4 linked regions of the Anolis sagrei genome follow. The protein of the gene in region 4 interacts with the protein of the main gene of each other region in a pairwise test. Links are inferred from orthologs where the notes say so. Each region holds a gene or a part of one and is shown on either strand. Other genes may lie near its edges. The genes, in order: HIPK1, MRM3, PIERCE1 and FHL3.

Evidence for each region.
Region 1: the proteins of FHL3 (region 4) and HIPK1 interact in binary tests that used the Homo sapiens proteins (3 or more experiments, as listed by UniProt). The two-hybrid records come from large-scale screens. The link is inferred for Anolis sagrei from reciprocal best matches to the Homo sapiens genes FHL3 and HIPK1.
Region 2: the proteins of FHL3 (region 4) and MRM3 interact in binary tests that used the Homo sapiens proteins (3 or more experiments, as listed by UniProt). The two-hybrid records come from large-scale screens. The link is inferred for Anolis sagrei from reciprocal best matches to the Homo sapiens genes FHL3 and MRM3.
Region 3: the proteins of FHL3 (region 4) and PIERCE1 interact in binary tests that used the Homo sapiens proteins (3 or more experiments, as listed by UniProt). The two-hybrid records come from large-scale screens. The link is inferred for Anolis sagrei from reciprocal best matches to the Homo sapiens genes FHL3 and PIERCE1.

The regions. Positions count from the first base shown.
Region 1 is NC_090024.1:202,602,579-202,610,618, reverse strand, and holds the start of HIPK1 (homeodomain-interacting protein kinase 1), read right to left. Parts: upstream 3,030-8,040; 5' UTR 2,554-3,029; intron 1-2,553.
Region 2 is NC_090031.1:35,292,272-35,300,416, reverse strand, and holds the start of MRM3 (rRNA methyltransferase 3, mitochondrial), read right to left. Parts: upstream 3,211-8,145; 5' UTR 3,173-3,210; coding exon 2,913-3,172; intron 1,399-2,912; coding exon 1,154-1,398; intron 1-1,153. Other genes in the region: GLOD4 (glyoxalase domain-containing protein 4), read left to right, coding at 3,806-3,895, 5,660-5,709, 5,956-6,076, 7,255-7,399. UniProt on the Homo sapiens protein: S-adenosyl-L-methionine-dependent 2'-O-ribose methyltransferase that catalyzes the formation of 2'-O-methylguanosine at position 1370 (Gm1370) in the 16S mitochondrial large subunit ribosomal RNA (mtLSU rRNA), a conserved modification in the peptidyl transferase domain of the mtLSU rRNA.
Region 3 is NC_090031.1:4,584,859-4,593,168, reverse strand, and holds the start of PIERCE1 (piercer of microtubule wall 1 protein), read right to left. Parts: upstream 3,045-8,310; 5' UTR 2,905-3,044; coding exon 2,762-2,904; intron 1-2,761. UniProt on the Homo sapiens protein: Microtubule inner protein involved in the attachment of outer dynein arms (ODAs) to dynein-decorated doublet microtubules (DMTs) in cilia axoneme, which is required for motile cilia beating.
Region 4 is NC_090034.1:86,441,259-86,449,518, reverse strand, and holds the start of FHL3 (four and a half LIM domains protein 3), read left to right. Parts: upstream 1-5,212; 5' UTR 5,213-5,369; intron 5,370-8,112; exon of another isoform or gene 8,113-8,172; intron 8,173-8,260. UniProt on the Homo sapiens protein: Recruited by SOX15 to FOXK1 promoters where it acts as a transcriptional coactivator of FOXK1.

The sequences.
Region 1 (8,040 bases), on a different chromosome or scaffold from region 4:
TAAAAGCACTGACATGCTGGAACATGTCCAGAAAAGGGTGACAGAAACGATCAAAGGTGTTGGAAGCCAAGCCCCCCCCCCCCCCCCCCAATGCAGCTGAAAGAGCTGGGTTATGTTTTGATTGGAGAAAGAGAGGGCACACGATAGCCACCGCTCCGAGTTGCCTCTGGGCCGAGAGGGGCGGTATATAAATATAGTAAATAAATAATAAATGTTTAAATGTTTAAATATTTGAAAGGGCGTCATACTGGAAAATTGAGAAAAGCTTGTTTTCTGCTGGCAATGGATTCCAATTGTAGGAAAAAGAGGAAGGACTTGTTGACGATAAGAGAACACGTAGACCAAGCACAGGCAAACTTGGGCCCTCCCTCCAGGTGTTCTGGACTTCAACTCCCATCATTCCTAACAGCCTCAGGCCCTTTCCTTTTCCCTCTCAGACACTTAAGCTGTTTCTTGCGAGCTCTGTAACCTTGTAAGGGGTGATTGTGCCCAGAGCCAAAGCAGAACTTTCTTGTAATGTATAAATGAAGAAACCTATTGAAACATAAGTAGATGTGGGTATAAGTACCTGTTATGCTCAAATTCACTCTAGAAAAAGCTGGAAATAGCCAGTTTTTTTAACTGGAGTAGCCAAATGTTGTCATAAGTGGATCCAGTGAATGATGAGTGAGAATTTTAAAAGCCTGTGCCCAGCCCACTGAGAATTAATGTTGTCTTGAGCATGTATGTAAAAAACGTCAGTGATATTAACATTAATGACTCAACTGTGTTGCATATTTGGCAATAAGGCACATACATCACATGAGGCCTGACACATTTTATAGTGTTGTATTTAAAGCATTTCTTCTCTGGTTTTCGGTAATTAAAGTGAAGAGGCTCTGATGTGATGCCCTCTTTTAAGAAGACAAACCTTGTGGAACCCCCTAGTCCTGGTTTTTCATTAAGGAACTGGGAGGCATAGGGGATTTATTTGCAAATAAGCTGCGGGTAACTGTCCTGAAAGGGAGGCAGCATACTGACTGAAATTTCACATATGATTCTTAGTTTTTGCAGGTACAATTCACTTTACAACATCTTTGTTCTCACACCCCTTCTCCTTTTCATCTTGTTTAATCCTGCACATGTCACCATTTCATCAGACGCTTATCAAAACAGTTTAGGAAAGCAAATTCAATTCATCAAAATAAAAATATATCAACATGCCATTTCTAATTCCTATATCTAAGGTTTTACTGCTATTGCCTGCTTATATGATTTCCCTGCGCCATACAGAGTTCTTTGCATCTCTTAAGAAGGCGATTTTTTTTTTGTCATGTCAGGAGTGACTCCTGGTGAGAGAGAATTGGCCGTCTGCAAGGACGTTGCCCAGGGGACGCCTGGATGATTTGATGTTTTTATCATCTTTGTGGGAGGCTTCTCTCATGTCCCCGCATGAAGAGCTGGAGCTGATAGAGGGAGCTCATCCACCTCTCCCCGGATTCGAACCTGCGACCTGTTGGTCTTCAATCCTGCCGGCACAGGGGTTTAACCCACTGCAATGATGGCCTCTTTATTGTCCCATTTTGAGCATGTTTTCTTCATTCTGTTTATGTGAGTATTTTCCTGTGTGTGATTTCTCATGGCTTAAGACTAAGGCACATTTCCTTCTAATGCTAAGGACTATGGCTATTTATTATTCAAGTTAAATCAAATTAAATAGGTGACCCTTGTCCCAGTCACTTTCAAAAGAACTGAAGTAAAAACATTAGAAGCACCTAAGTAGGGCAGACCAAATGCCTATCTAGGCCATCATTCTGTTTCCACAATAGTCATCTAAGTTTGTGAAGTCCACAAACAGGTAGATGGCAACCAATATAAAATGGCTAGTAGCCAGTGATAGTCTTTACTACATTTTATGGAAGCGGCTGAGGGGGAAAGGAAAGGGGCCTGATGCTGTCAGGAATGGTGGGAGTTGACGGCATTGGTTTTTATATGATTTTAAAGCTGGTTTTTTAATTTTGTTTTAAATGTTTTGAAGTGTATTTGGTTAAGGCACTGGTTCTCAATCTGTAGGTCCCCAGATGTTTTGACCTTCAACTCCCAGAAATCCTAACAGCTGGTAAACTAGCTGGGATTTCTGGGAGTTGTAGGTCAAAACACCTAGGGATCCACAGGTTGAGAACCACTGGGTTAAGGCATCGAATTACTGCCTGGTTGTAAGCCGCCTTAAGTCACCTTCGGGCTTGAGAAAGGCTGGATTGAAATATGTTAAATAAATAAATATGTCCAAAACACCTGGAGGGAGGGGCCCAAGCTTGCCCCTGCCTGGTCTGTACACTTGTGGGGGTTTTTAAGCAGAGGCTGGATGTCCATCTGTCGGGAGTGCTTTGATGGCGTGACTACGTGATAGAGGGGTTGGCCTGGCTGGCCCCTGGGGCCTCTTCCAACTCGGGTGAATTCTCAGTGAGTGGGAAGGCCCCGGTGGCGCCAGGCTGGGGCCTACCTCTCCCTCCCTCTTTCCGCCCGTCCCTGGGAGGCCCGAAGGCCGCCGCCTCCTCGCTCATTCGCACTTACTCGCCGCCGTTGGGGGCGCCTCAGCCGCGGGCCGGGCCGGGAGCTGCCTGCCGGTGCCGGGGGACGAGCGGGCGCATCCTACCCGCCGGAGACGAGGCCGGCCCGGGCGAGGAGGGGCAGCCGCCGCCACTGCCGGGCCGCCTTGGCCTTGTGGAGCCGGCCAGCCCGCAGGCAACCCCCCGGCGGTTCCGCCAGGCTTCGGCCCTCCTCGCCCGCCCGCCAGCGAGCCGCCTTCCGAGCCGCTGCGGCCGACGTCTCCTCCTCCTCCTGCTGCCGCCTCCTTCGCCTCCGCCGCCGCCGCGCCCTCCTCAGCGGCCCCCCTTCCTTCCTCCCCTCCTTCCCTCCTTCCTTCCTCCCTTCTTTCGCCTCGCCTTCCTCCCTCCGTTCAGCCCAGCTGCTGCTGCTGCTCGCGCGCCCCTCGCCGCAGCCAGGCCCAGCCTGCCGAGCCCAGAGCGGAGGAGAAAGAGGAGGAAAAGGAGACCGGCGGAGGCCAGCGCGCGAGACGCCCAGGCCCAAGCAGTCGAGCGCCGAGGCCTGTGATTGGACGCGCGTCACGTGACCTCTCCTTTCCCCTCCCCCCCTCCCGGAAAGCCGTTGGGCCGCGCGGGGGGGGGGGGGCGAGCCCGGCGCCATGATGGGCCCTCAGCCGCCAAGGGAGGGAGGTATTTCCCAGTCGTGAAGCTCTCTTTCAAGAATATTTTACATATCAAGGCACACACAAAGAATATTTTACATATCAAGACAGGCGCACAGAGATACCGAACGACGCCACAGGCACCGGACTAGGGAGTAAACAAGGACCATTGAGCGTAGTAGGCCAGCCTCAGTCGTGCCCCGAGCAGCAAAGGCCTGGAGTGCTTCTACGGGTCATGGCAGCCAAACTATTAATTTACCAATGTAGATCTTAGAAAAGATTCTAAGATCTACAGAAACTCTCAGCAAGCGAGAGTCCAAAAGTGGCAGGCTCAAACGCAGAACCTCAATCCATGGCTGATACCAAATGAGAGACTCCCTCCTGGGCACACAGAAGACTGGGCAACTTGGAAGGCGCTGGCACCACGAGATGCAGAGCCAACCTTAAGAAATGGGGCTACAAAGTGGAATCCGCGGCATGCGAGTGTGGAGAAGAGCAAACTACAGACCACCTGCTGCAATGCAACCTGAGCCCTGCTACATGCACAATGGAGGACCTTCTTGGGGTAACATCAGGGGCACTCCAAAGTGGCCAGCTACTAGTCAAAGGACATTTAATCAGCTACCAAGCTTGCAAACTTTGTGGTTTGTTTGTTTTGTTTAAAAAATGCAACGCAACTGTTTGGTCTGCCCCTGACACGATAGATAAATAAAACCTCCATGGCTTAACCCTCATCCTCCTTGACTTGAAAAGCAGGCAAGCAGAGGCTCAGGCGGCCTTTCCCCTTTCCTGCCCCGTTTCTCCCGGCGCGTTACTCACGTCTTTTCCACCTCAGCATGGCTTGATCCAAAGGGCTTCTCCCAAGCGGACGAAACTTCTCCAAACTCGGTTCTGTCTGGATGTGTCCAGAAAATAGGACTTCCTTCGGCCAAAGCCTAAAGGAATGGCTGCCTTTCACCCGTCGAAGGAGCCCAAGCGATGCCTTCTAGAATCCTTTCCCGCTCCAAACCGCCTGTGAGGTCTCTTCGGTGGTTCTTTTCCAACGGTTTTCGAAATAGCCCGGGTCTTCTTGAGACCCACGGTTGTGTCCCTTTTTGAAACAACAGCCCTGAAACCCCTCGGGCCCTTTCGGTCTGTCCTTTGAGGAGGGAGCATTCGTGCCCCGCTGCATCTTATTGTCATGTAAATATTTTAGCACCTTGGTGGGAAAGGTTTGGCCATTGGCAAGGACCTTTCCAATCAGTGGGGCTAAAGCAGGTATGGGCAAACTTGGGTCGTCCAGGTGTTTTGGATTTCAACTCCCACCATTCCAAACTGCCTCGGGCCCCAGAAGCAGCTGAGGACGGAAAGGAAGGGGCCTGAGGCTGTTGGGAATGGTGGGAGTTGAAGTCTAAAACACCTGGAGGGCCCAAGTTTGCCCATGCCTGGTTTATAGACAGCCAAAAACAAATAATAACATTTCCTTCGTTAACTTCAGAATCACCTTTTGGCATACTTTTTTCCAGGCATATTCTCTTCAAAGGGCTGAGAAACTTCACATTTCTAGTAATTACATGGCGCAAGTCTTCAGTAACTGAAAGTTGTGTTGCTTTGTTGTTGGGCTTCTGATTTAAGGCGACCATAAGGCACATAATACAATTTTAGTCTGAGGATGACTTGGGTTGAGACAGTGTGACTTGCCCAAGGGGTTTTTTCATTTCTGAGTCGGAATTCAAACTCTATAGGATGCATCTACACTGTGGCGCAATAGGTTAAACCCTTGTACCAGCTGGAGTGCTGATCAAAAGGTCGACACTTTGAATCCAGGAAGTGGAGTGAGCTCCCATCTGTCAGCTTCTCATGTGGGGATTTGATAGAAGCCTCCCACAGGATTGTAACACATCTGGGCATCCCCTGGGCAGCGTCCTTGCAGACAGCCAATATTCTCACATCAGAAGCGACTTGCAGTTTTTCATGTCGCTCCTAAAATTCTACACTGTAGAAATAATGTAGTTTGGCACCACTTTAACTGCCATGGCTCAATGCTATGAAATCCTGACAGTTGTAGTTTTACAAAATCTTGAATCTCCTCTGCCAAAAAAATGAGGGTACCTCAGAAAGATACAAAGTGCGTTGGTTTCTCACCAAACTGCGGATTCCACCTTTCCATAACATTGAGCCACAGCAGCTAAGTGATGTCAAACTGCATTAACTTTACAGTGTAGACGCACCACTAGTTTTCAGGTTGATTTTACATTTATTGACTGATTTCTGCCCCACCTTTCTCTGAACATGGGAACAGAGGGGTCCTACAACAGATTCAAACAAGATAAAACCTGGTGATAAAGCAGTTTATACACATAATTAATCATTACAATCTTGTTTGAATAAAAAAGGTCTTTGCCTACAGGCAGAGGAGGAGCAGATACTGGGCCAGTTTGGTGTAGGTTGGTAGTGTCTTCTGCTTTCTATTCTTTTGATTTTTTTTCTTTTGTGTAAAGCTTAGATATATCCCAGGGTTTCAAAGTAAGTTTATATCCACAAAATCTCATGCTAAAATACAAACTAGATAATGTTAAAAGAGCTGCAACGTTTCTCTCTCTCTACCACTATCTCTTTTCAAGTGGCTGAGAGACGAACCTCTCTAACAAGAACATACAACAAAATCCAGAAAACACCAATACCTTTATTTGGCAAATTAAAAAAGCAAAAAAATTGTCAGGCACAGGAACCACACCTCTGGCTGGTATGTGAGGGCTCCTAAATAACAAGAAACTGCCAGGAAGAAGCTTTTGAATGGTTTTGCATCTCCTTGCCAGGCATCATAAAACAGCACACTTGTAGTGTAGAGTTACAGTATTCTTCTCTTCTTAAGCTTTTATGGCCACCGTTTCAGAATAATATTGTAGGTCAAAGGCCCAGGACTTTGACTTAACTATGTATAATTCTGTTGGCTAGAATATAAATTCGGGAATTGTCAAGATCAGTCCGTACTAATGCAAACAATATGCCTTGAGAAGCAGGAGCCTGGCCTAATTCAAAATATAACTATATTATTTTTTTTTCAGGCTCTGAAAAAGAATTACACAAACCATAAAGATTGCAGCACTTGAAACTGGACCATTTTATCTCTAGAAAATCAGACATAGAGGAAAAGGACATTCTTCATCTTTGATTCCACGCATTTTATGGGGGTGGGGGGAATGAGCATCAAAGGGGCTTACAATAGTCAATAAACTCCATTGAGCCCGTGTGACAGATTTCTGGATAAATATGAAAGGGATTGCCCTCTTAAGTGTAAGCAAATCAAAATATTCCCTCCCCAGATCTGGAGAGCAGTTATTCTTAAATAATCAGGAATAGCAAGAAAGAAAGAAAGGAAATGTGGCAACAATTAATCAGCAATAGTTGCTGTTTTGTTTAGTACAATTGATCATTTCTAGAGGCAGTTGTGGTCCTCCAGATTTTTTGTAGACTACGGTTTTCAAAATCACTGGCTTTAACTGGAGTCCAACAATACCTGAAAGACCATAGTTTTCCCGCCCTTGTTGCACATCTTGCTTTTCTTCCATCATGGATTTTCCAGTCTTTCATTGAGGCACTGTCAATAGACAGACCTTAGCTTCAATACGGTGCCTGTATTATATGACACAGACCAGGAAGGAGAACCATAATGTTTGTCTCCCGATCCTATCTGTAGATATTGCTGGACTGCAAGCAGCCCAAGCCAGTAGAGCCAATGGTGAGGAATGCTGGGAGCTATAATCCAACATCTGGAAGCCATATAATTCTTACTCCTGGCCCAGAAATATAAGTGAGACTTATGAATTTTTCCTACTGTGTCAGAAAATAAACCAAATGTTAAATTAAAGTTACAATTAAGCCCAAAATCCATGGTAGTGGATTACCAGCATGTTGGAACTCCATTTTATTCCACCCTACACACTGAGCTGTCTAAAATGCTGGCTTCTTTCTGCTTCCTGGCCCTCTGGGTTAGGTTTTTTTTTTTTGTTTTGTTTTTTTGATGCACATAAATGTAAGATCCCCCTTGCTCCTGTTTCTGTACTGTTATGCTGTTCCACCAGTAGAAATCCAGTCTTCTATCTTTCCTTAAGTTCTATATAGTATTTTGTGTAAGTGCATAGCAGCTGTGCAACACCAAAAATCTGGAGTTGGCTATCAGACAAATTTGTAAAAAGAAGTAACTGCAAATCTGCATCCATCACTCAAAGAAATATGTTTGATGGAGCTTAGAATGAGTTTTATTAATGTCTGGTCTCAGGCTATGGAACTTCCCTCTTTTGCGAGATAGGCTTATGCTGGACCGACACTGTCATAATGCAGTTGAAAATCTTAGAATCATAGAGTTCATCATGTAGCATGTTCATCATGTAGCATGTTCATGCCATGTAGAGTTCATCATGTAGTGGGATAGAAATAGGATTTTTTAAATCTATATTCTGCTATCTCTACTTATTCACTCCTTTCTCTCCCATATCCTTCACCCCCTTTTTGCCATCCCTCTTCCGATTGCCCCTGTTTGCCACCTCTTTTCCCCCTTTCTTTACCTTCCTTTCTCCTTTTCCACCCCTTTCAACTTTACTTTATTTTAACGACTGTATAATATGAAAATTTCAATAAAGAATATTTTTTAAAAAAGAATCATAGAGTTGGAAGAGACCTAATGGGCCATCCAGTCCAACCGCCTGCCAAGAAGCAGGAATATTGCATTCAAAGCACCCCTGACAGATGGTCATCTAGCCTCTGTTAGTGTACACCCATATAATGCAGTTTAACTTAATTGAATTGAGCAGATTCAGGCTCAGTTGGCTTTAAATTAGTTTGCCGTTCTCAGATGAAGTGAAGGATCTTAT
Region 2 (8,145 bases), on a different chromosome or scaffold from region 4:
AATATAATAATAATATGATATTATAATTATATATTTATATTACATGTAATATTAATAATCTATATAAATAAAAATGTAATGTTCGTTTGTGGGATTAACAGAACTCAAAAACAACTGGATGAATTGCTGCCGAATTTAGCCACAAGACATTTACTATCCCAAGGAGTGACTATCACTCAAAAACTTTGATTTTTGTCATTTGAGAGTTGTAGTTGCTGGGATTTATAGTTCACCTACAATCAAAGAGCATTCTGAACTCCACCAATGATGGAATTGAACCAAACTGGGCACACAGAACTCCCATGACCCAACAGAAATACTAGAAGGGTTTAGTGGGCATTGACCTTGAGTTTGGGAGTTGTAGTTCACTTACAGCCAGAGATCACTGTGGACTCAAACAATGATGGATCTGGACCAAACTTGGCACAAGTATTCCATATGCCCAAATATGAACACTGGTGGAGTTTGGGGGAAATAGACTGTGACATTTGGGAGTTGTAGTTACTGGGATTTATAGTTCACCTACAATCAAAGAGCATTCTGAATCCCACCAGTGATAGAATTGGACTAAACTTCCCACACAAAACCTCTGTGACCAACAGAAAATACTCAAGGCCATCCAGTCCAACTCCCTTCACCAGGGCAAGAAAATGTAAACAAAGCCCTCCTGACAAAGAGCCATCCAGCCATGGATATAGATAGATAGATATGATCCACACACGCACACACAGATAGTATCGTAGATTTGAAAGGGACCCCTAAAGGAGGACAATGATATGTTGAATGTTCCAGTGCAGGCAAACCAGATAATGTCTACATCAACACTGACAAAGAAACAACAAGAAGTACTGATTATCCACAAACAGAAAGACATAGCATCTATTAGAAACCAACACTTTCTCATTATTTTCAAGATCACCAGAGTGGGCCACAGCAACGGGTGGCAGGGGACGGCTAGTATTACAATATAATGGTATAGAATAATATAGTAATATTTAATACTGATATTGTACTATGCTAATAACATAATATATTGTATCATATATATATTGTAAGCTGCTCTGAGTCCCCTTTGGGGTGAGAAGGGTGGCATAGAAATGTCATAAATAAATCAATAAATAATAAATAATGCCTGTGGCTGCCCCTGGCTCACCGATGGCTCCTTGAGACGTGACAACGTCTGACCAGGCCTTGAGGTCTTTGCTGTGCACCTTGATGAGGGAAGCGCTTCTCAGCTTGGCAGTCGGCAGCTCCTTGAGGTGCTCCGTTGAGATGAAGAACAGCGTCTGAGGGGCGGCCCCCGCCTCCAGGGCGTCCGAAATGAGCCGCCGGCCTTCTAGAAGGATCTTCCCGTGCTTCTCGCGGAAGGCCCTCGACTTGGCCAGCGTCACTACTTTGCTGCTCAAAGAAAAAAGTCCGTTACGGCCTCTCAAAAAGCCCCAGAGAGCTTTGATTCGGCGATTTCTCTTCCTCCTTTTAGACTATTTCTGCCAAGTTCGAAAATATGCAAATGCTTCAGCGGGAAGGTAATGGCACTCCAGTCCTGAATCATTGTTAGTAATATTATTATTAGTAATATTACATGTAATATAATATATATAATTATTATATTGTATTATCATTTTTGTTGTATGTTGTGTCTGCACTGTCTGTTTTTGATAAGGCCAACTGGCTAATCAATAAAATGGTTGTTGTATTATCACACACACATATATATATATCTTATATATTTCATTTTTTACATATAGTGTACATATTTCATATTTCTATATACCATATATATGTTACTTAGATTACAAAGAAATAGATCTTTCATCTCTCTCTCTCTCTCTCTCTCTCTCTCTCTCTCTCAAGACCAGCACCTTGAATTGAACTGAACCGGCAGCCAGTGGAGCAGGCATAGCAGGGGGGTGGTGTGCTGCCTGTAGGTCGCCCCAGTGAGCAATCTGGCTGCCGCTCGCTGGACTAGTTGAAGTTTCCGAACAGTCTTCAAGGGCAACCCCACGTAGAGAGCGTTGCAGTAGTCTATTCAGGATGTAACAAGAGTGTGGACCACTGTGGCCAGATCAGACTTCCCAAGGTACGGGCGCAGCTGGCGCACAAGTTTTAATTGTGCAAAAGCTCTCCCGGCCACCGCCGAGACCTGGGGTTCCAGGCTCAGCGATGAATCCAGGATCACTCCCAAGCTGCGAACCTGCGTCTTCAGGGGGAGTGTAACCCCGTCTAACACAGGCTGTAACCCTATGCCCTGTTCGGCCTTACGACTGACCAGTAGGACCTCTGTCTTGTCTGGATTCAATTTCAATTTGTTAGCCCTCATACAGTCCGACACAGCAGGTAGACACCGATTCAAGGTCTGGACAGCCTCCTTGGTGACAGGTGGAAAGGAGTGACAGATCTGGACATCATCTGCATAGAGGTAACATCGCAGTCCGAAACTCCGAATGATCTCCCCCAACGGCTTCATGTAGATGTTAAACAACATTGGGGACAGAATTGATCCCTGAGGGACTCCACATGACAATGGCTGTGGGGCCGAACAGGTGTCACCCAGTAACACCTTCTGGGACCGTCCTTCAAGGAAGGACTGGAGCCACTGCAAAGCAGTACCCCCGAGTCCCATTTCTGTGAGGCGTCCCTTATTATGTATTGTGGGCTCAGCCTCTTGTAAGCTGCACCGAGCCCTTCGGGAGATGTTAGCGGGGTAGAAATAAAGGTTTATTGTTATTATATATTGTTTTTATCTATTTCAGTATATATATAAATATTTATTTACACATATACTCAAAAACATACTATATACATGGCAGTATACCTAAAGCCAGGCCCTTCTGGTCCCAATGAAGCTGCAGGAGCCGCCCTTCCCAGGCAGGACTACATTTCCCAGGCTGCCCTGCGACCTGGGGCCTCACCTCAGCCTCTTGTCTCCGGGGCCGGCCTTCTCGTAGCGCGGCTCGCTCTCCCTGAGGCCCACTTCCTCCCCGCCAGCCTGGGCTTTGGCCTTCTCTTTGGGACCGGGTGGAGGAAGAGGAGGGACGGCGCTGGGACGGGCAGCCTCCTTCTGCTGGGCGGCGGGGGGCAGCACCCGGACGGGGCTCCTCCGCAGCGCCCGCACCCCTCTCACCCCGACGACCAAGAGCGCGGCCTGCTTTCGCCTCAGCAGCGCTGCCATTTTGGTTCCGGGCAGCAGCTACAAAAGGAAAGTCTCGCGTGACTTATTGCGCTCGCTTGGGGAAAGCCGCTTGGCATTCAAATCATCGCGAGATTTGCCTCTGTTGCTATTGACAACGTAACAAAATGGCGCCCGCTATACAACAAGGCGCCGGAAGTGCGGCCTTCACTTCCGGTGGGAACGCGTCCGCCAAAAGAGAAGTCTCGCGGGACTTGCCGCGCTCGCTTAGAGAAAGCCGCTCGGCTTTCAAGTCATCGCGAGAGTTGCCTCTCCCCCCTCCCACCGTTGCTACTGACAACGTAAGAAAATAGCGCCCGCTATACAACAACAAGTGCGGCCTACACTTCCGGTCAGGGCGCGTCAGCCAAAAGGCAAGTCTCGCGGTACTTCCCGCGCTCGCTAGGAGAAAGCCGCTTGGCATTCAAGTCATCGCGAGAGTTGCTTCTCCCCCAGTTGTTCCTGACAACGTAACAAAATGGCGCCCGCTATACAACAAGTCGCCAGAAGTGCGGCCTACACTTCCGGTCGGGGCGCGTCTCTCAAACGTCAGCGCCCACAATCCCTCCTCTTCGGGAAAGAGCGCCAGGCCTGCTGGGAGTTGAAGTCCGAGATCGGAGGGAAGTAAACGACAACATGGAAGCCCGGAGAGCCTTACACTTCGTGTTCAAAGTCGGCGACCGAGCGCAGACGGCGCGGTTCTATCGGGAGATACTGGGCATGCGCGTAAGAGAGGGGGGGGGGGAAGCAGGGAGTGTGACGTCACCGAGGATCGGCGCCGCAGAGGGTCAAACTTATCGGAAAGGCGTTCTGTCCCCTATTGCTGCTGTTTAGGGAGCATTGGCTTTGTTGTTGTTGTTGTAAATGTTAATTAAATATAATAGGAGGCTAGCTATAAAATAGGAGGCCATCTACAGAGACACATATGGAAATAACAACTTATTAACTTATTAGTGATCAATACTAATTATGAATAATAATTAATATTGACTTGTTAATGATTAATACGAATTGTTATCATTAATGTATTAATATTAAATACTAATTAAGAAGTATTAATAATGTATTACTATTAATATTATCATTAACAATACTATTAGTACATTAATATATATTATTAGTATTAATATATTAACGTTCAATTATACTATTATATTAATGTTCAATTATACTAATTATTAGCCTTTCTTAATATGTTAATATATTAATGGTAATAATTACTATAATTGAACATTAATAAATGTTCAATTATAGTAATTATTACCATTAATATATTAATGTTTAACTATAGTAATTATTAGCCTTAATATATTAATGTTCAATTATAGTAATTATTAGCCTTCCTTAATACATTAATGTTCAATTATAGTAATTATTAGCCTTAATATATTAATGTTTAATTATAGTAATTATTAGCCTTAATATATTAATGTTCAATTATAGTAATTATTAGCCTTCCTTAATACATTAATGTTCAATTATAGTAATTATTAGCCTTAATATATTAATGTTTAATTATAGTAATTATTAGCCTCAATATATTAATGTTCAATTATACTAATTATTAGCCTTCCTTAATACATTAATGTTCAATTATAGTAATTATTAGCCTTAATATATTAATGTTTAATTATAGTAATTATTAGCCTTAATATATTAATGTTCAATTATACTAATTATTAGCCTTTATATTAATCTTCGGTTATACTAATTCTTAGCCTTAATATATTAGTGTTGAATTATACTAATTATTAGCCTTAATATATTAATGTTTAGTTATACTAATTGTTACCATTAATATATTAATTTCTAGTTATACTAATTGTTACCATTAATATATCAATATTTAATTTTAGTAATTATTAGCCTTAATATGAAAGGGTCTTTGAGTGAAATTTGCAAATACTAAGTAAGGGGCTTTGAATGAAATTAACAGCAAAAGAGAGACACACCCTTTCTCTGACTTAAAAAGAGCAATATGGAAGAAAATGTTTTTAAGGAACAAGGTGTGACATGTAGAAGGTACACAGGATGCTTGTGGTTAACTTCAAAGGTTTTTTTTGAAGCGCAGAGGCCGCATGTACAAGAAGGTACTTTCCATCAAAAGGTCAGAATTATTATTCACAAAAGGTGTTTTCCCTATGCTTTTTGTTTGTACTGGGCTATAAAGTTTGCAGATTTCAAGGGAAGAGCATGGCAGTCATTTGAAAGGTAACATTTGCGCATGCTGCCCGGCTGTCCGTCTTCTTCATGAAGAAACTGAAATAAAACCTTGTTTTTTTTATCTTTCATTGGGACTGTCTCCTTCCTTTCGTGCTCCCGCGACGTGGACCTAAAAAGACCCAATTTTGGGTTTCTAACAAGTATATTAATGTTCAATTATACTAATTATTAGCCTTAATATATTAATGTTCAATTATACCATTAATAGTAACCATTATTAGTAATAAATTATTATTAATGTCTGAGAATTCTATAATTTCCCAACAGGTTCTACGGCATGAGGAATTTGAGGAAGGCTGCAAAGCCACTTGCAATGGGTAGGAATATAATAATAATAATAAATACCACTTGGCCTTTCAAAATAATTATTAAGCTGTATAAATGTGAACGGTTTATGTTTTAAATTAGCATTTAAGGTTCTAAACATTGAAAACTATAAACTCTATGACTATAAATATTATTGGACACCCCAGCCACATACACACAGGCATATTTTCACTATTTTTGTATGTGCCTAGATAGATGAGCCCCCATTAACTCCCATGGATTCTCTGTGTTTCTAGTCCCTATGATGGGAAATGGAGCAAAACGATGGTGGGATTCGGCCCCGAGGACGGTCATTTTGTGGCCGAACTGACCTACAATTACGGCGTCGGAGGATATCGCCTTGGCAACGACTTCCTGGTGCGGATTTTAAACAATAAGTCGCTTTAAATTTATTCATTTTTGATTATTTTTATATTTTTATTTTATTTTAAATTAGAATTTTAAACAATTATAAATTTATTTAATTTTTTTATTTCAAGTTGGTTTTTTAAATAAGTGATTCTGAATGTATTTATTTGAAATAATAAGTGACCCCTGAATTAATTAAATGAATTCTTTTAAATAATAAGCTGTATTAAACCAGTTTTTAAAATATTTTTGTTTAAAAAATACTAAGTTAATTTAAAATGTATTTATTTCAAAACAGTATTTTAAGTACATTATTCTAAATTTATTTCTTTTAAATTAGTTTCAGGTTAATAAGTTACTGTTTTAAATTAGTTTTTATAAAGTAATAACGAATTAATTTAAATTTATTTGTTTTAAGTTAGGTGTTCTTTTTCTCCAAATTTATTCTGTAAAATAGTTAAATTTAATTTATTTTGAATTAGTTTATATAAAATAATAACAAATTAATTATTTGTTTTAAGTTTGATTTTTTATTTATTTTGTAAACAAGTTAAATTTAATTTATTTTAAATTAGTTTTTATAAAATAATAATAAATTAATTTACATTTATTTGTTTTAAGTTGTTTTTTCCCTCCAAATTTATTTTGTAAGTTAAATTTAATTTATTTTAAATTAGTTTTTAAAAATAGCAATGAATCAATTTAAATTTGCTTTAAGTTCTGTTTTTTCCTCCAAATTTATTTTGTAAATAAGTTAAATTTAATTTATTTTAAATTAGTTTTTATGAAATAATAATGAATTAATATAAATTTATTTGTTTTAAGTTAAGTTTTTTTATTTATTTTGTAAACAAGTTAAATTTAATTTATGTTAAATTAGTTTTTATAAAATAGGAATGAATTAATTTAAATTTATTTGTTTTAAGTTAGGTTTTCTTTTTTTTCCAGATTTATTTTAAATTAATTTTTTAAAATAATAATGAATTAATTTAAATTTATTTGTTTTAAGTTAGGTTTTTTTTCTTGATTTATTTTGTAAACAAGTTTGATTTCATTTATTTTAAACTAATTTAAAAATATAATATGATACATTATATTTATGTTAAATATAATAAGTGACGTTATTTAAAAATATTTTTAACCAATAATAAATTAGTTTAATAATAATGCATTATTTTTCCCGGCAGGGAATGACGATTGCCTCCAACCAAGCGGTAAATAACGCAAAAAGGCTTCAATGGCCAATCAAGGAGATTTCGTCCGGTGTTTACGAAACGGAAGCTCCGGGAGGATACAAGTTCTTCCTGGAAGAGAAGGAAGCTCCCAAGAAAGGTGTCTGTGGAGTTACATACACACATAAATATGTTTTCACTTTTATTATTATGTGTATACATAGATAGATTACTAGTATCTTATTATATTAGTCTATTATTGCTACAATATGTATAGATAAGAGGAAATTACAATATTATAATTAGAACTATTATCCTTCTAAATGTATAATAGCAATAAATTACAATACAATAATTTATTATTAATATAATAATCCTAATGTTATAATGTGATATAATACTAATTATATCACGACGCAGTGGGTTAAACCGCTGAGCTGCTGAACTCACTGGCCGAAAAGTTGGTGGTTCAAATCCCGCTGTTAGCCCCAGGTCTTGCCAACCTAGCAGTTCGAAAACATGCAAATGTGAGTAGATCAATATCTACCAATCTGGATGGGAGGTAAGGGCGTTCCATGCAGTCGTGCCAGTGGCCACATGACCTTGGAGGTGTCTACGGACAACTCCAGCGCTTCGGCTTGGAAGAGCATTCACACCTACTTCGATTTGCATGAGGCCCAAACGAGGTAAATAAAGCACAACTTTCAGTAAATAAAGAACAGGGGAACTCCAGACAAGAAACAACCAGGGGCAACTAATCACCTCTCAAGAAAGGATTCCCCCAGGCAGTAAGAAGCCACACCTTGAAACTGCTAGGCCATTCAGTGCTAATCAAGGTGGCCAATGGCAACATTCACACCTACCTCCAACAATTTGTTCTTATAAAATAATAATGAATTAATTTAA
Region 3 (8,310 bases), on a different chromosome or scaffold from region 4:
CTTCAAATCTGTTCTTCACTTCCACTGTATATTCGCTAGGAATGTTAGTGAGATCATATCTAACTGGTCTGTGTATTTTCCCTGATCTCTTTAGTTTTATTCTAAATTGGGCAATAAGAAGTTCGTGATCTGAGCTACAGTCAGCCCCAGGTCTTGTTTTCACCGACTGGATAGATGTCCGCCACCTTTGGCTGCAAAGGATGTAGTCAATCTGATTTCGGTGTTGACCATCTGGTGAAGTCCATGTATAAAGCCGTCTTTTAGGTTGTTGGAAGAGAGTGTTTGTTATACACAGTGAGTTTTCCTGGCAAAATTCTATCAACCTGCGTCCCGCTTCATTTTGTTCTCCCAGACCATGCTTGCCTGTGATCCCTGTTGTCATTTGACTTCCCACCTTGGCGTTCCAGTCTCCTGTAATGAAAATAATGTCTCTTTTTGGTGTATTATCCAGTAGGTCCTGCAGATCCTCATAGAACTGATCTACTTCTGCTTCTTCAGCAGCTGTGGTTGGGGCGTATATTTGGATCACTGTGATGTTGAAAGGCTTTCCTTGCACTCGAATTGAGATCATTCTGTCATTTTTTGGGTTATATCCGAGCACCGCTTTAGCGAATTTCTTATTAATTATGAAGGCTACTCCATTTCTTCGATGTTCCTCTTGTCCACAGTAGTAGATCTGGTGGTCATCTGATGTGAAGTGGCCCATTCCAGTCCATTTCAGTTCGCTGACCCCCAGAATGTCTATCTTTAGTCTTGACATCTCACCAATAACAACATCCAATTTGCCCTGGCTCATAGATCTTACATTCCAGGTTCCTATGGTGTGTTGATCTTTAGAGCATCGGATTCGTCGTTCGCCTCCAGTACCGTCGGCCGCTAGCCTTCCTTTCGGCTTTGAGCTAGCTGCGTCATCACATCTGGGGCTAGTTGAACTTATCCTCTGCTCCTCCCCAGTAGCATTTTGGCCATCTTCCGACCTGGGAGTCCCATCTTCCAATGGCATACCGACATATCTCTTGTTGTACTGGTCCATTTAGTTTTCTTGGCAAGGATACTGGAGTGGTTTGCCATTGCCTTCCCCAGGGATCACGCTTGGTCTGACCTCTCTGCCACAACCGTCCCGTCTTGGGTGGCCCTTCACGGTTTCGCTCATGACATCATTGAGGTGCTCAAGCTCCAGCGCCCCGACAAGGCGGTGATCCTTTGCTGGAGTATATATATATATATATTCCAAAAAAATATTGGTAGAAATATTCACAAAAATATAAATAAAATATTTATATTTAAAATATTCATAAAATAATTACAAAAATATTTTCAGAAATAAACATATTCATCAAAGTATTTGCAGAAATATTCACAAAAATATTTGCAGGCATATTCACAAAAATATTTACAGAAATATTCACAAGAATATTTGCATAAATATTCACAAAAGTATTTGCAGAAATATTCACAAGAATATTTGCAGAAATACTCACAAAATATTTACACAAATACAAAGTATTTGCAGAAATAATCACAAGAATATTTGCAGAAATATTCACAGAAATATTTGTAGAAAAAATATTTGTAGAAATATTTACAAAACAATTTGCAGAAATATTCATAAAATATTTCCAGAAATGTTCAGAATAATATTTGCAGAAATATTCACAAAAATATTTGTAGAAATAATATTTGCAAAAATATTCACAAGATATTTGCAGAAATGTTCGGAATAATATTTGCAGAAATATTCAAAAATATTTGCAGAAATATTCAAAAAAATATTTGCAGAAATATTCACAAAACATTGAAATATTTACAGAAATATAAAATATATTCACAAAAACATTCTTTGAAATATTCACAAAATATTCACAAGAATATTTGCATAAATATTCACAGGAATATTTGCATAAATATTCACAGGAATATTTGCATAAATATTCACAAAATATTTGCAGAAATAGTCACAAAAATATTTGTAGAAAAAATATTTGCAGAAATATTCACAAGAATATTTGCAGAAATATTCACAAAATATTTGCAGAAATAGTCACAAAATATTTGCAGAAATGTTCAGAATAATATTTGCAGAAATATTTACAAAAAATATTTGCAGAAATAGTCATAAAACATTGAAATATTTGCGGAAATATTCACAAAATATTTACAGAAATGTTCAGAATAATGTTTGCAGAAATATTCACAAAAACATTTGCAGAAATGGTCACAAAACATGGAAATATTTGCAGAAATATTCATAAAATATATTCACAAAAACATTCTCTGAAATATTCACAAAATATTTGCAGAAATATTCACAAAATATTTGCAGAAATGTTCAGAATAATATTTGCAGAAATATTCACAAAATATTTGTAGAAATATTCACAAAACACAGAAATATTCACAAAACATTGAAATATTTGCAGAAATATTCACAAAATATTTGCAGAAATGTTCACAAAACTTCACAGAAATATTCACAAAACATTGAAATATTTGCAGAAATATAAAATATATTCACAAAAACATTCTCTGAAATATTCACAAAATATTTGCAGAAATATTCACAAAATATTTGCAGAAATGTTCAGAATAATATTTGCAGAAATATTCACAAAAATATTTGCAGCAATAGTCACAAAACATGGAAATATTGGCAGAAATATTCATAACATATATTCACAAAAATATTCTCTGAAATATTCACAAAATATTCCTAAAAATACTTAATGTCGTGTGACGCCACTTTCGAACCTCCGCAGCTCACCTGTAACCCCGAAACCATCCCGGCCGGTCGAAGCGGGTTGGTAAATTCGGATGGATGCGGTAATAGTCGCTGGTCCTCTCCTCTTTGCCTTCCTCTTTCGTTGTCGGCGGTTCCAATTGGGGAAGAGGCTCTTTTTGGGCCATTTCGGAGAGATTCTCACCTCTGTCCCAAAGGATGAACTGGCCTGGGATCAAAGCCAGGAGGGTTCTGATTGGCTGTTGGGTGGAAACAAAGCATCCCGTTGCTAGGAGACCGGGGACCACAACAAGAGATGCTCTTAAAGGCACAGGCCTCTTGAAAGAGAATGGGTGCAGCAGAGTTGTGCTTGGAGGAGTCAGCAGAGGGAGCTGCAAAAAGCAAAGCTGCTTCCATCCTCTTTTCTCTCTTTTCTCTCCTTCCTTCCTTCCTTCCTTCCTTCCTGCAAAGCAGGCATGGCGGCTCCAGGGCTTTGGAGGACAGGTGAGCACCAATTATTTATATTTATGTTGATTATATCCTACTTCTCGCAATGGAAGGCTTGGCTTGGGAAGCTGGGAACTCTTGTCTGCCTTGCAGTTTCAAAGTCTGGCTGCTTCCTGCCTGTTAGCCGGACCAGATTGTTTCCTGTCTGGAATTTCCTTGTTTTTTTAGTAATTCTTTCGTAATTCTTTAGTAATTAGTAATACCCTCCTTATTTTAGATTTTTTTTTTATAATACTGGTAGCCAGGTTTTGTTCATTTTCATGTTTTTCTCCTTTCTGTTGAACCGGCATTGTCCGTAGACACCTCCAAGGTCATGTGGCCACTGGCACGACTGCATGGAGCGCCGTTACCTTCCCGCAGAAGCAGTACCTATTGATCTACTCACATTTGCATGTTTTCAAACTGCTAGCTTAGTAGAAGCTGGGGCTAACAGTGGGAGCTCACCACACTCCACAGATTCGAACCACCAACCTCTCCATCAACAAGTTCAGCAGCTCAGTGGTTTAAACCACTGTACCACCAAGAGGTCTTAGAGAGATAGATAGATAGATAGATAGAATCCTAGAGTTGGCAGGGATAGATGAGTAGAAAGAAAGAAAGAAAGAAAGAAAGATAGATAGAATCCTAGTTGGAAAATATGAGATAGAAAGAGTGAGAGAGAGAGTTGGAAGGGATAGGTGGGTGGATAGAGAGATTCCTAGTTTGAAGAGACAGATGGATGAATGGATAGATAGATATTGATAGAATCCTAGAGTTGGAAGTGATAGATAGATAGATAGATAGATTCCTAGTTGGAAGAGAGAGAGAGAATTGGAAGAGATAGATGAGTAGATAGATAGATAGAGTTGGAAGGGATAGGTAGGTGGATAGATAATTGATAGAATCCTAGAGTTGGAAGGAATAGATAGATAGATAGATAGATAGATAGATAGATAGATAGATAGATTCCTAGTTGGAAGGGGTGGACAGAGGGATGGATGGATGGGTAGGTGGGTGGGTGGGTGGGTGAGTGGATGGATGGATAGATAGATAGATAGATAGATAGATAGATAGATAGATAGATAGAGTTGAAAGGGATAGATAGATAGATAGATAGATAGATAGATAGATAGATAGATAGATTCCTAGTTGGAAGGGGTGGACAGAGGGATGGATGGATGGGTAGGTGGGTGGGTGGGTGAGTGGATGGATGGATAGATAGATAGATAGATAGATAGAGTTGAAAGGGATAGATAGATAGATAGATAGATAGATAGATTCCTAGTTGGAAGGGGTGGACAGAGGGATGGATGGATGGGTAGGTGGGTGGGTGGGTGGGTGAGTGGATGGATAGATAGATAGATAGAGTTGAAAGGGATAGATGGATAGATAGAGTCCTAGTTGGAAGGGGTGGACAGAGGGAGGGAGGGATGGATGGACGGACGGACGGACAGACAGACAGACAGACAGATAGATAGATGATAGAAGTTGGAAGACATAGATAGATAGATAGATAGATAGATAGATTATTGATAGAATCCTAGAGATGAAAGGGATAGATCGATAAATGATAGAATCCTAGTTGGAAGAGACAGACAGACAGATAGAGTTGGAAGGGATGGATGGATGGACTGACAGACAGATAGATAGATAGATAGATATAGATGGATAGAATCCTAGAGTTGGAAGGGATAGATAGATAGATATAGATAGATAGATAGATAGATAGATAGATAGATAGATAGATAGATAGATTCCTAGTTGGAAGGGGTGGATGGATAGATATTGATAAAATCCTAGAGTTGGAAGGATTGGACGGAGGGATGGATAGGTAGGTAGGTAGATAAGTGTCGAAGGCTTTCATGACCGGAATCACTGGGTTGTTGTAGGTTTTTTCGGGCTATATGGCCATGTTCAGGAGAGAATGCCTCTAGAACATGGCAATATAGCCCGAAAAAACTTACAACAACCCAGATAGATTATTGTTAGAATCCTAGAGATGAAAGGGATAGATTGATAGATGATATAATCCTAGTTGGAAGAGACAGACAGATAGAGTTGGAAGGGATAGATGGGCGGACGGACGGAGGGAGAGAGAGAGAGAGGGAGAATGAATCCTACAGTTGGAAGGGATAGACAGACAGATAGAGTTGGAAGGGATGGATGGATGGACTGACAGACAGACAGATAGATAGATATAGAGTGATAGAATCATAGAGTTGGAAGGGATAGATAGATAGATAGATAGATAGATAGATAGATAGATAGATAGATAGATAGATAGATTCCTAGTTGGAAGGGATGGATGGATGGATATTGATAGAATCCTAGAGTTGGAAGGGATAGATAGATGATAGATAGATAGATAGATAGATAGATAGATAGATAGAGTCCTAATCAGAAGGGATGGATGGATGCTAGAATGATTTCAAGATGTGGATTATGGGATCTGTGGTTGCAGAAGCCATTTATGAGATAGCTGTATTTCCCCCTTTTGTTCCAGTTGTCCCCAATCTTGGCCGCTTCAGCTCTTTGGTGCGGATGTCTTCCTCTTTTCCTCTTCCTGCTTCCACCGTGATTGCGCAGAAAGTGCCTCCCAATGGTAAGTCTTCCTGTTGACCATCGGGTTGTCCCTTCGAGTGACCTTCTCCCAGGCAGCGGTTTCCTTATGTGGGGTTTCGTGGGTGTCCCCAACTAATGTGGAGGGATGGGGTGAAGTTAAGGTGGAATCGCAGCACTTGTTCTTCTCCTTTTCCCGCTTTCAGATATGAGTGAAATGTTGCTGACGGAGCCCTTGAAGCACCCCGACTACTTCAACGTCCAAGAGCTCTTCTCCCTTAAGGACCTTTTCGACGCCCGGGTCCACCTGGGACACAAGAAGGGATGCCGCCACAGGTGGGTCCCATCCCATACTGCTAGGAGAACACCTCTCTAGGAATTTCTAGCTCTGAGAAACTGGGGAACAATGCAGATTGATTGACACCACTTGAACTGCCGTGGCTCAACGCTGTGGGAAACCTGGGAGTTATAGTTTTGCAAGACCTGTTGTCTTCTCTGCCAAAGGGGTCTGATGCCTCCCCAAACTAAACATCCCAGGATCCCATAGCACTGAGCTGCAAATTATTATTATTATTATTATTATTATTATTATTATTATTATTATTATTGCAAAGGCTGGATGGCTATCTATAGGGGGTGCTTTGTGTTAAAAAGTTTGCCCATGCCTAATATATATATACAGCATTTTTGGGAGATGCCATCCTAAGGAATGAAGCCCAAAAACTACAAGAAAGAGGTGAAAATTCATGGACTATAATTAAAAGTTGCTGATGAGAACTGTGACAATGATTAATTGTTGAACCTTGGCAGAAAAACGTGTTTACATTATCATAGACAATTGCTCTGTAAGTTAAAGAAATGTTTACAAGGTTCCTTGCATTAAGAAGGAAGTCAACACAAGGCTCCTTACGTTTACCAACACCAATTAAGGAGAGTCAACATCTGCCCGGAACTGGGAAGCTAGGATGTTTCAGGCTGGAAAAACATCTACCATTCATTTACAACTTTGGGGGCGGGGGGGGGGGGGGACCAGAGTTTTTACATTATCATAATCAATGGCTCTGTGAGTTAAGGAAATATTTATGAGGTTCCTTACGTTAAGAAGGAAGTCAACACAAGGCTCCTTATGTTTACCAACATAAGGAGAGTCAACATCTGCCAGGACTTGGGGAGCCAGGATATTTCAGGCTGGAAAAACATCTATCATTCATTTACAACTTTGGAACAACTTTAGCAAGATATATTGCTATGTAAGAGACCTTCTAATATTCCAAAATTGTGGCAGACCAGAGGAGTCTTGCCCAGCCGCCTCTCTACTCCATAGGAAGAAGAGAGATGGTGTGCCTTTGGGACAGCTCTGCAATGGAATACAGTCCGGTCACTTGCTCCTTTTCTCAAGGGAAGAGAAAGGAGTACAACTTTGGAGTCATGATACGTTTGCAAGGAGTCAGATCGGAGATCTGATCGTTGGCTTTAGATAGATCCCTGGTTGGAAGGGATGGATGGATGGATGGATGGATGGACTCCTATAGTTGGAAGGGATGGATGGATGGATGGATGGATGGATAGATGGATGGAACCCTAGTTGGAAGGAATAGCTGGATGGATGGATGGAACCCTAGTTGGAAGGGATAGCTGGCTGGCTGGATGGATGGATGGATGGATCCCTAGTTGGAAGGAATAGCTGTATGGACGGATGGATGAATTGATGAGACGGATGGAACCCTAGTTGGAAGGGATAGCTGGATGGATGAATGAATGGATGATGGATGGAACCCTAGTTGGAAGGGATAGCTGGATGGATGGATGGATGGATGGATGGATGGATGGATGGAACCCTAGTTGGAAGGGATAGCTGGATGGATGGATGGATGGATGGATGGATGGATGGATGGATGAATGGATGGATGGATGGAACCCTAGTTGGAAGGGATAGCTGGATGGATGGATGGATGGAACCCTAGTTGGAAGGGATAGCTGGACGGATGGATGGAACCCTAGTTGGAAGGGATAGCTGGATGGATGGATCCCTAGTTGGAAGGAATAGATGGATGGATGAATGAATGGATGATGGATGGAACCCTAGTTGGAAGGGATAGCTGGATGGATGAATGAATGGATGATGGATGGAACCCTAGTTGGAAGGGATAGCTGGATGGATGAATGGATGGATGATGGATGGAACCCTAGTTGTAAGGGATAGCTGGATGGATGGATGGATGGATGGATGGATGGATGGAACCCTAGTTGGAAGGGATAGCTGGATGGATGGATGGATGGATGGATGGATGGATGGATGGAACCCTAGTTGGAAGGGATAGCTGGATGGATGGATGGAACCCTAGTTGGAAGGGATAGCTGGATGGATGGATGGATGGATGGATGGATGGATCCCTAGTTGGAAGGAATAGATGGATGGATGAATGAATGGATGATGGATGGAATCCTAGTTGGAAGGGATAGCTGGACGGATGGTTGGATGGAACCCTAGTTGGAAGGGATAGCTGGATGGATGGATGGAGGGATAGAACCCTAGTTGGAAGGGATGG
Region 4 (8,260 bases):
TTCATTCGGGAAAATGCTGCACTCGCAGAGCTCAGGCGGTGTTGTATTTTGGTGTCGATGTTGACTTTGGTGGAGAGGTGGCTGCCAAGGTAGCGGAAATGGTCAACATTTTCTAATGTTACACCATTAAGCTGTATCTCTGGCTTTGGGGAGGGGATGGCTGGTGTCTGCTGGAACAGCACTTTGGTTTTCTCGATGTTCAGTGACAGGCCAAGCTTCGTGTATTCTTCTGCGAAGGTGTTTAGAGTGGCTTTTAGATCTTCTTCTGAATGCGCAGAGACAACATTGTCATCAGCATACTGGAGTTCTATAACAGATGTTGTTGTAACCTCGGTTTTGGCTTTCAGTCTGCTGAGGTTAAACAGCTTGCCATCTGTCCGATAGATGATTTCCACTCCGGTGGGAAGCTTCCCATCAACAAGGTGAAGTATCATAGCAATGGAGATGGAGAATAAAGTTGGGGCAATAACACATCCCTGGAATACCCGGAGAGGTATTCCACAGTGGGTAGGCATATTCAGCAGCAGAGTAGCAAAGTGCAAGGGCAGATATCTTCACTGTCTGGTTGTGATCGCCAGGTTTTGCCTGTCAGCTTTCATATATAATTTTTAGCACCCACTTTTTGCTTGGTACGAGGGTTGAATGAAAAGTAATACCTTCACCTTCGTTACTTGGGTTTGGATGAGAATATTTTAATAAACACAGAAATAATCCTTAGAATGTGCTCTTTAACTCCCACTATTCAGTTTCCACATAATCACCAAACAATTGGATACATTTCTGCCAACGATGAACAAGTTTTCTGAAGCCATCACAGAAGAAGTCGACACTCTGTTTTCGGAACCAGTGTCTCACAGTTCTGTCATCCTGGGTACCCATCGTGCACAGATCTTCCGATAGCCAAGCAAAGCAATAATGTGACCCACACATTCTTGTGAAATGTCGATTATGCTTGAAATTTCTCTCTGAGTGAATCGTCCTGAATCAATCTGTCAACCTTTTGCTTGGGAAACTCGGTGGTTGCTGTCACAGGACGTCCAGCTCTTTGTCACGCAAGTCAGATGTTCCTCTCAACATCTTTAAACTTACTCGCCCAATGACACACAGTACTCACATCAACACAATCACCATGAACAGCTTGCATTCTCTGATGAATCTCCTTTGGGGTGACATCTTCTGCTGTCAAGAATTCAATGACTGCACGTTGCTTAAGTTGCATTGACCAATCATCTGTGCAGGGTTCCATACTTTGCACTTTAACAACACAAACGTTCAATGCTAAGGCTTCCCGCCAAAATGGAACTGTGGAGGAGAGTCTACTGAACAAGCCAGGACCTGCCACATACCAGTACTGCCATCTGTTGAGGAATTATGAAGATGGAGGCATCTAACCCTCATATTTAAGCAGTGCTTCTTGTAGGTCGGGAAACGATCCGGGGTAACTCCCAGGTATTTTGGTGTGCTGCAATGCTCCAGTGGGATTCCTTCCCAGATCATCCTCAGAATTCAAGATGCTTGTCTGTTCTTAAGGTGAAAAGCACATGTCTGTGTTTTAGATGGATTAGGAATCAGCCATTTCCCCCTGTAATAGGCAGTAAGAGCACCTAAAGCTTCAGAGAGCTTCTGTTCAAGCATTTCCAAGCTCCCTGCTTGGGTGGTGATGGCATGATTGTCAGCATAGATGAAACTCTCTGTCCCTTCTGGCAATGACTGATCATTTGTGTCAATGTTAAACATTGATGGAGTGAGCACGCTTCCCTGAGGCAGGCCGTTCTTCTGTTTTCGCCATCTGCTTCTCTGGCCCTGGAATTCAAGAAAAAAGTTCATGTTTTGTAGCAGATTTCCTATGAAGCGGGTGAGGTGGTAGTCCTTTGTGATAGTGTAAGTTTTTCTCAGGAGAAGACGATGATTTACAGTGTCACAAGCTGCTGACAATGTAGATGAAACTAACTGTCCATTCTGGCAATGGCTGATCATTTGTGTCAATGTTAAACATTGATGGAGTAAGCACACTCCCATTTCAAAGCTCCCTGCTTGGGCAGTGATGGCACGATCATCAGCATAGATGAAACTCGCTGTCCCTTCTGGAAGAGGCTGGACATTTGTGTAATTTTTTTTGTCGTGTCAGGAGTGATTTGAGAAACTGCAAGTCACTTCTAGTGTGAGAGAATTGGCCGTCTGTAAGGACGTTGCCCAGGGGACGCCCGGATATTGTGATGTTTTTACCATACTTGTGGGAGGCTTTTCTTATGTCTCTGCATGAGGAGCTGGAGCTGATAGAGGGAGCTCATCCACGCTCTCCCTGGATTCAAACCTGCGATCTGTTGGTCTTCAGTCCTGCTGGCACAGGGGTTTAATCCACTGCACCACCGGGGGCTCCTCATTTGTGTAAATGTTAAACATTGATGGAGGAAGCACACTCCCATTACAAAGCTCCCTGCTTGGGCGGTGATGGCACAATCATCAGCATAGATGAAACTCCCTGTCCCTTCTGTCAGAGGCTGGACATTTGTGTCAATGTTAAACATTGATGGAGCAAGCACACTCCCATTTCAAAGCGCACTGCATGGGCGGTGATGGCACGATCATCATCATAGATGAAATTCTCTGTCCCTTCTGGCAGTGGCTGGTCATTTGTGTAGATGTTGAACATGGATGGAGCGAGCACGCTCCCCTGAGGCAGGCCGTTCTTCTGTTTCCGCCATCTGCTTCTCTGGCCCTGGAACTCAACAAAAAAGCTCCTGTTTTGTAGCAGGTTTCCTATGAGGCGGGTGAGGTGGTAGTCCTTTGTGATATTATACATTTTTCTCAGGAGGAGGCGGTGGTTCACAGTATCATAAGCCGCTGACAGGTCTATGAAGACAGCTCCTGTGGTCTGCTGCTTTTCCAAGCCATCTTCTATGTGCCGAGTCAGGTTCAGCACTTGCGATGTGCAGCTTTTGCCTTTCCTGAAGCCAGCTTGCTGTGGGATCAGACAGGGGTCTATTTTTTCCATAATTCTATGCAGAATAAGTCTCTCCAGAACTTTGTAGAGGTGGCACAGCAGGGAGTTTGGTCTGTAGCTTTTTGGATCATTACGGTCTTTGCCTGGCTTCAGGATGGCAATGACTCTTGCTTTCCTCCAGATTTTGGGGATCTGACAGGATGCAGTGCAGTTGTTCATCAGCTCCAGTAACCAGCACTTTGCTTTTGGGCCAAAGTTCTTGATTTGTTCCATTTGTAGATCATCCAAGCCAGCTGCTTTGCCATTCTTACATTTATTGAGAGCCATGTCCAATTCAGTAGATGTAAAGGGTTCGTGAAGGTTGTTGTTCTCAATCTCTTGTTGTCTGGCTATTGGTTTCTTTCCTACTTTGGTGGCAAGGTTGGGTTTCCCGTTCTTCAAGAGTTGGTGTGCTATCTGATCTGCCTTTATGTTGGCATGGGTATTAGTTTGTGAGGGGTCGTTGCTCAGCCATCTTAGCAACCTCCACGCCTTCTGGCTGCTCCTGCCCATGTCGACCTCTGTGATCAGATTGATCCAATGTTCTTTCTTGGCTTCAGAGATGGAGGACACAATGTTCTGCACTGCCTGAAGAGTCTGCTCACTAAATGGGCCTTCGAAGTGGAGTCTGTAATAGTTTTCCAACAAGGCAGCTGTTTCAGGAGTAATGCCTGAAGGTAGTTGGTTCTGCAGCCTCTCGGTATCGAGGCCCGTGAGCAGGTTTTCCCGATTTCAATAAAATGCTCGTATTCCTCAGGGATTGGCGCGGCCGATGTGATCATGTCATCTAACATGTCTGAGAATTTAGTCCAATCTGCCTTTCTGAAGTTGTATCTTTGTTTAAATCGAACTTCCTGAGGCCTTATTGTTGGGAACAGTTGGCATATTATTGGTCGGTGCTGTGTGTTTGGAATTGGTGGTCCCACTGATTTAGTGCAGTGCTGTACAATGCTGTCGCTCACAAATAAGAGGTCTGGGCAGGGGCGGCTCGTCCATTACGCGAAGTAAGCGGTCGCAGAACACTCTTTTTTTGCCAGGGGTGCAGAGGTGCCTCTGTAAATGCCCCTCGACCGCCACTTGAGGAGCGCCCCCTCAGCTCACAACAGCCCTAGCAGTCCAGGGGGAGCCTCGTCTTTCTTGCCTCGCTGTCGGGCGATCCTCTTCCCAAAGGGGCCGTGCCCTTGAGCCTTGCCTAGCCCCTCTCGTTCCTGCTCCACCCGGCCACCGGGTGCGCAAGCAGAGCCAGCACTCAGTCATTCTCCGCGTTTGATCCCTTCCCCATGACCAGCTCCCTTTCCTGATCCCCCGGCGCTCCACCCGCCTCCTCTCCCCAATCCATGGGTGGGCCAAGGGGCGGAGCCACTGCACCTGGCCCGCTTCGGGTCCGGAGGGGTGTCTGAAGACCCCAGCGTGCGCACCAAAAGTCGCCTCTTCTCCTGACTTTCTCTTCAGCCATTGGGACCAAGAGAGAGAGAGAGAGCCCCTCTGGCTGGAAGTATCTCCCACCTCCGCTCCCTCCTTTGTTTTTGCGCCTACCTTCAGGAAAGGTGGGCATCTCCACCTCTCTCTCTCTCTCTCTCTCTCGGTCCCAATGGCTGAGAAGAAAGTCAGGAGAAGAGGTGACTTTTGGTGCACACGCCGGGGTCTTCAGGCACGCCTCCGGACCCAAAGCAGGCCAGGCAAGGGAGCGAGTGTGGCAAGTGTAGTTACTGGGATGTATAGTTCACTTACAATCAAAGAGCATTCTGAACTCCACCAATGATGGAATTGAACCAAATATGGCACACAGAACTCCCACGACAAACAGAAAATATATATCAATGATTGGTTGGGGGTGGGGGGGGGCGCCAAAATACTGTTTGCTTACCGTTGAAAATTACCTAGGGCTGCCTCTGGGTCTGGGTTATAGCCTCGGTGCCATCTCCCGCTATTGTAGGATGGGGGGAGCTTGCTATCATGGATGAGTGATAGTTTGTGCAGTTCAGACCAGGAGAGGACAGCCTCTCCATTTCTGTCCTCTTGGGCATAGCCCCATACGTGGCTATGGCTGTTGAAGTCACCAATTACTACCGCCCTTTGGTGCCTATCGAAATTCTCGGGGGAGGAGAAGCAGAACTCTTCATTTGGGGGCTTGTACACAGAGGGGATGGTGAGGGAAGGAGAGGGGCGGGGACTTCAAGGGGGCGGGGCCGCAGAGGAGTGGGCGGGGCTCAGTTGGGGGTTCCGCCCCTCCCACCTCCTCCCTTCCAGCCGGGCGGGGAAGAGCTCCACCTTGGAGGGACGGAGGGAGAGGCGCGGGCAGGACGGGCCCGGTCCTCCGGCGCTGGACGGGAGGAGGAAGGCAGCGAAAGAAGGAAGGGAAGAAGGAGCCCCGAAGGAGGAGCAGGTGAGGCCAAGCGAGGGAAAGAAGAGGGGTCCAGGAAGGGGGGAGCCTTGAGGAAGGGAGGCTCTTTGTCCTGGGTGGGTGGGGGTCTCAGTCCAGCGCCCCACAAAGGACATTCATTGAGAAACAGGCGGAGGGAGAGCGGGCCAGCTCCCTCCCTCCTTTTCCTTTTCCCTTCCTTCCTTCCTTCCTTCCTTCCTTCCTTCCTTTAAAAGAGGCATGTGGTGCTTCATTGGGGGTCGTAATGCCCTTGCCCCCCCCCCCCATCCCCTCAGGAAGTCGTCCAGGGAGAAAAATCAACATCACCCCTAATCATAATAATGAACTCTACTTCCCTTGTGAGGCTGAGGGGCTCCCAACAGGACTAGGGTGTCCCAAGGCCAGCCTTTCTCAATCTGAGGGTTGGGACCCCTGCGGGGAGGGTCGTGAGGGGGGTGTCAGATGGGTCGCCCAAGACCATCAAGAAACACAGTATTTGTATTTGTTGGCCCGGGGGTTCTGGGTCGAAAGTTTGGCCCAATTCTCTCATTGGTGAGGTTCAGAATGCACCTTGATTGTTGTTGAACTGTAAATCCCAGCAACTACAGCTCCCAAACGTCAAGGTCTATCTTCCCCAAACTCCGCCAGTGTTCACGTTTGGGCATATTGAGTTTTCGTGCCAACTTTGGTCCATATCCATGCTTTGATTGTAGGTGAACTATCAATCCCAGCAACTACAGCTCCCAAATGTCAAGGTCTATTTTCCCCAAACTCCGCCAGTGGTCACGTTTGGGCATATTGAGTTTTCGTGCCAACTTTGGTCCATATCCATGCTTTGATTGTAGGTGAACTATAAATCCCAGCAACTGCAACTCCCAAACGTCAAGGTCTATTTTCCGCAAACTCCGCCAGTGTTCACGTTTGGGCATATTGAGTTTTTGTGCCAACTTTGGTCCATATCCATGCTTTGATTGTAGGTGAACTATAAATCCCAGCAACTGCAACTCCCAAATGTCAAGGTCTATTTTCCCCAAACTCTACCAGTGTTCACATTTGGGCATATCGAACACTTGTGCCAAGTTTGGTCCAGATCCATCCTTGCTGGAGTCCACAGTGCTCTCTGGATGGAGGTGAACTACAACTCCAAAACTCAAGGTCAGTGCCCACCAAACCCTTCCAGTATTTTCTGTTGTTCATGGGAGTTCTGTGTAAGATTGGTTCAATTTCATCATTGGCGGAGTTCAGAATGCTCTTTGATTGTAGGTGAACTATACATATCAGCAACTGCAACTCCCAAAAGTCAAGGTCCATTTCCCCCAAACTCCACCAGTATTCACATTTGGGCATATCGAACACTTGTGCCAAGTTTGGTCCAGATCCATCCTTGCTGGAGTCCGCAGTGCTCTCTGGATGGAGGTGAACTACAACTCCAAAACTCAAGGTCGATGGCCACCAAACCCTTCCAGTATTTTCTCTAGGTCATGGAGGTTCTGTGTACCAAGATTGGTTCAATTCCATTCTTGGTGGAGTTCAGAATGCTCTCTGATTGTAGGTGAACTATAAATCCCAGCAACTACAACTCCCAAATGTCAAGGTCTATTTTCTCCAAACTCCACCAGTGTTCACATTTGGGTATATTGAGCATTTGTGCCAAGTTGGGTCCAGATGCATCCTTGCTTGAGTCCATAGTGCTCTCTGGACGTAGGTGAACTACAACTCCAAAACTCAAGGTCGATGCCCATCAAACCCTTCCAGTATTTTCTGTTGTTCATGGGAGTTATGTGGGCCAAGATTGGTTCAATTCCATCGTTCGTGGACTTCAGAATACTATTTGATGGTAGGTGAACTATAAATCTCAGCAACTATAACTCCAAAATGACAAAATCAATCCCCCTGCAACCAGGCATGTAGCCAGGGGGGGGGCTTGGGGGGCTTCAGCCCCCCCCGAAATTTTCATGGTGGTTCGCGAAAAGGCCTTAATGGTGCATTATTTAAACTGTTATGTTTATTCATATCATGATCTGATCACCATAATCAATATATCCCATATGCATGGGGGTATTGGGGTAACGATACAAAAGGTTTGCTAGGCTAGCCCCTCTTTCACTCAGACTCAGCCCCCCCCCCCCCCGAAACTCAGCCCCCCCCGAAACCCCCCCTGAAAAAAAAATTCAGCCCCCCCCGAAACGAAATCCTGGCTACGGGCCTGCCTGCAACCCCACCAGTATTCAAATTTGGATATATCAGATATTTGTGCCAAATTTGGTCCAGTGAATGAAAATACATCCTTAATATCAGATATTTACATGACGATTCATAACAGTAGCAAAATTACAGTTATGAAGTCGCAACACAAATAATTTTATGGTTGGGCGGTCACCACAACATCAGGAACTATATTAAGGGGTCATGGCATTAGGAAAATTGAGAACCACTGCCCTAGGCTATCTGTCCTCCCCGAATGGGATGCAGCCCAGGCACAAAGCAGTGCTAAACCCAGGGCGGGGTGGGTGCCGGGGAATGACTCTGGCTTGCAATGAAACAGGAGACTAGGGGGTGAAAGGGGGGGGGGGCTCCTGTCCCACTTCCCCACATCCCTCCCCACAATGGCTGGGCCTTTAGTCCAGAGGGGCTCTTACAAGGAGGGCCTCTCCCCCCTCCACCACCCAAGTTTCCAGATGTCTAGAAGGGAGGAGGCAGCTGACTGAAGCAGACCCTTCCTTTCTCCCTTCCTTTTTTTTCTTCCTTCCCCTTTTCCTTCCTTCCTTTGTCTGCCTTCGCCTCCGTCTGTCCCGGTGACTCAGTGGAGAGGCAGCTCAGGCCAAAGGTGAGCAATACCATCCTCCTCCTGAGTCAGCAAGGATTTTGGGGGGGGGGGGCACCCTTACTTTCTCTTAAAGGCAGTGCTTCTCAAC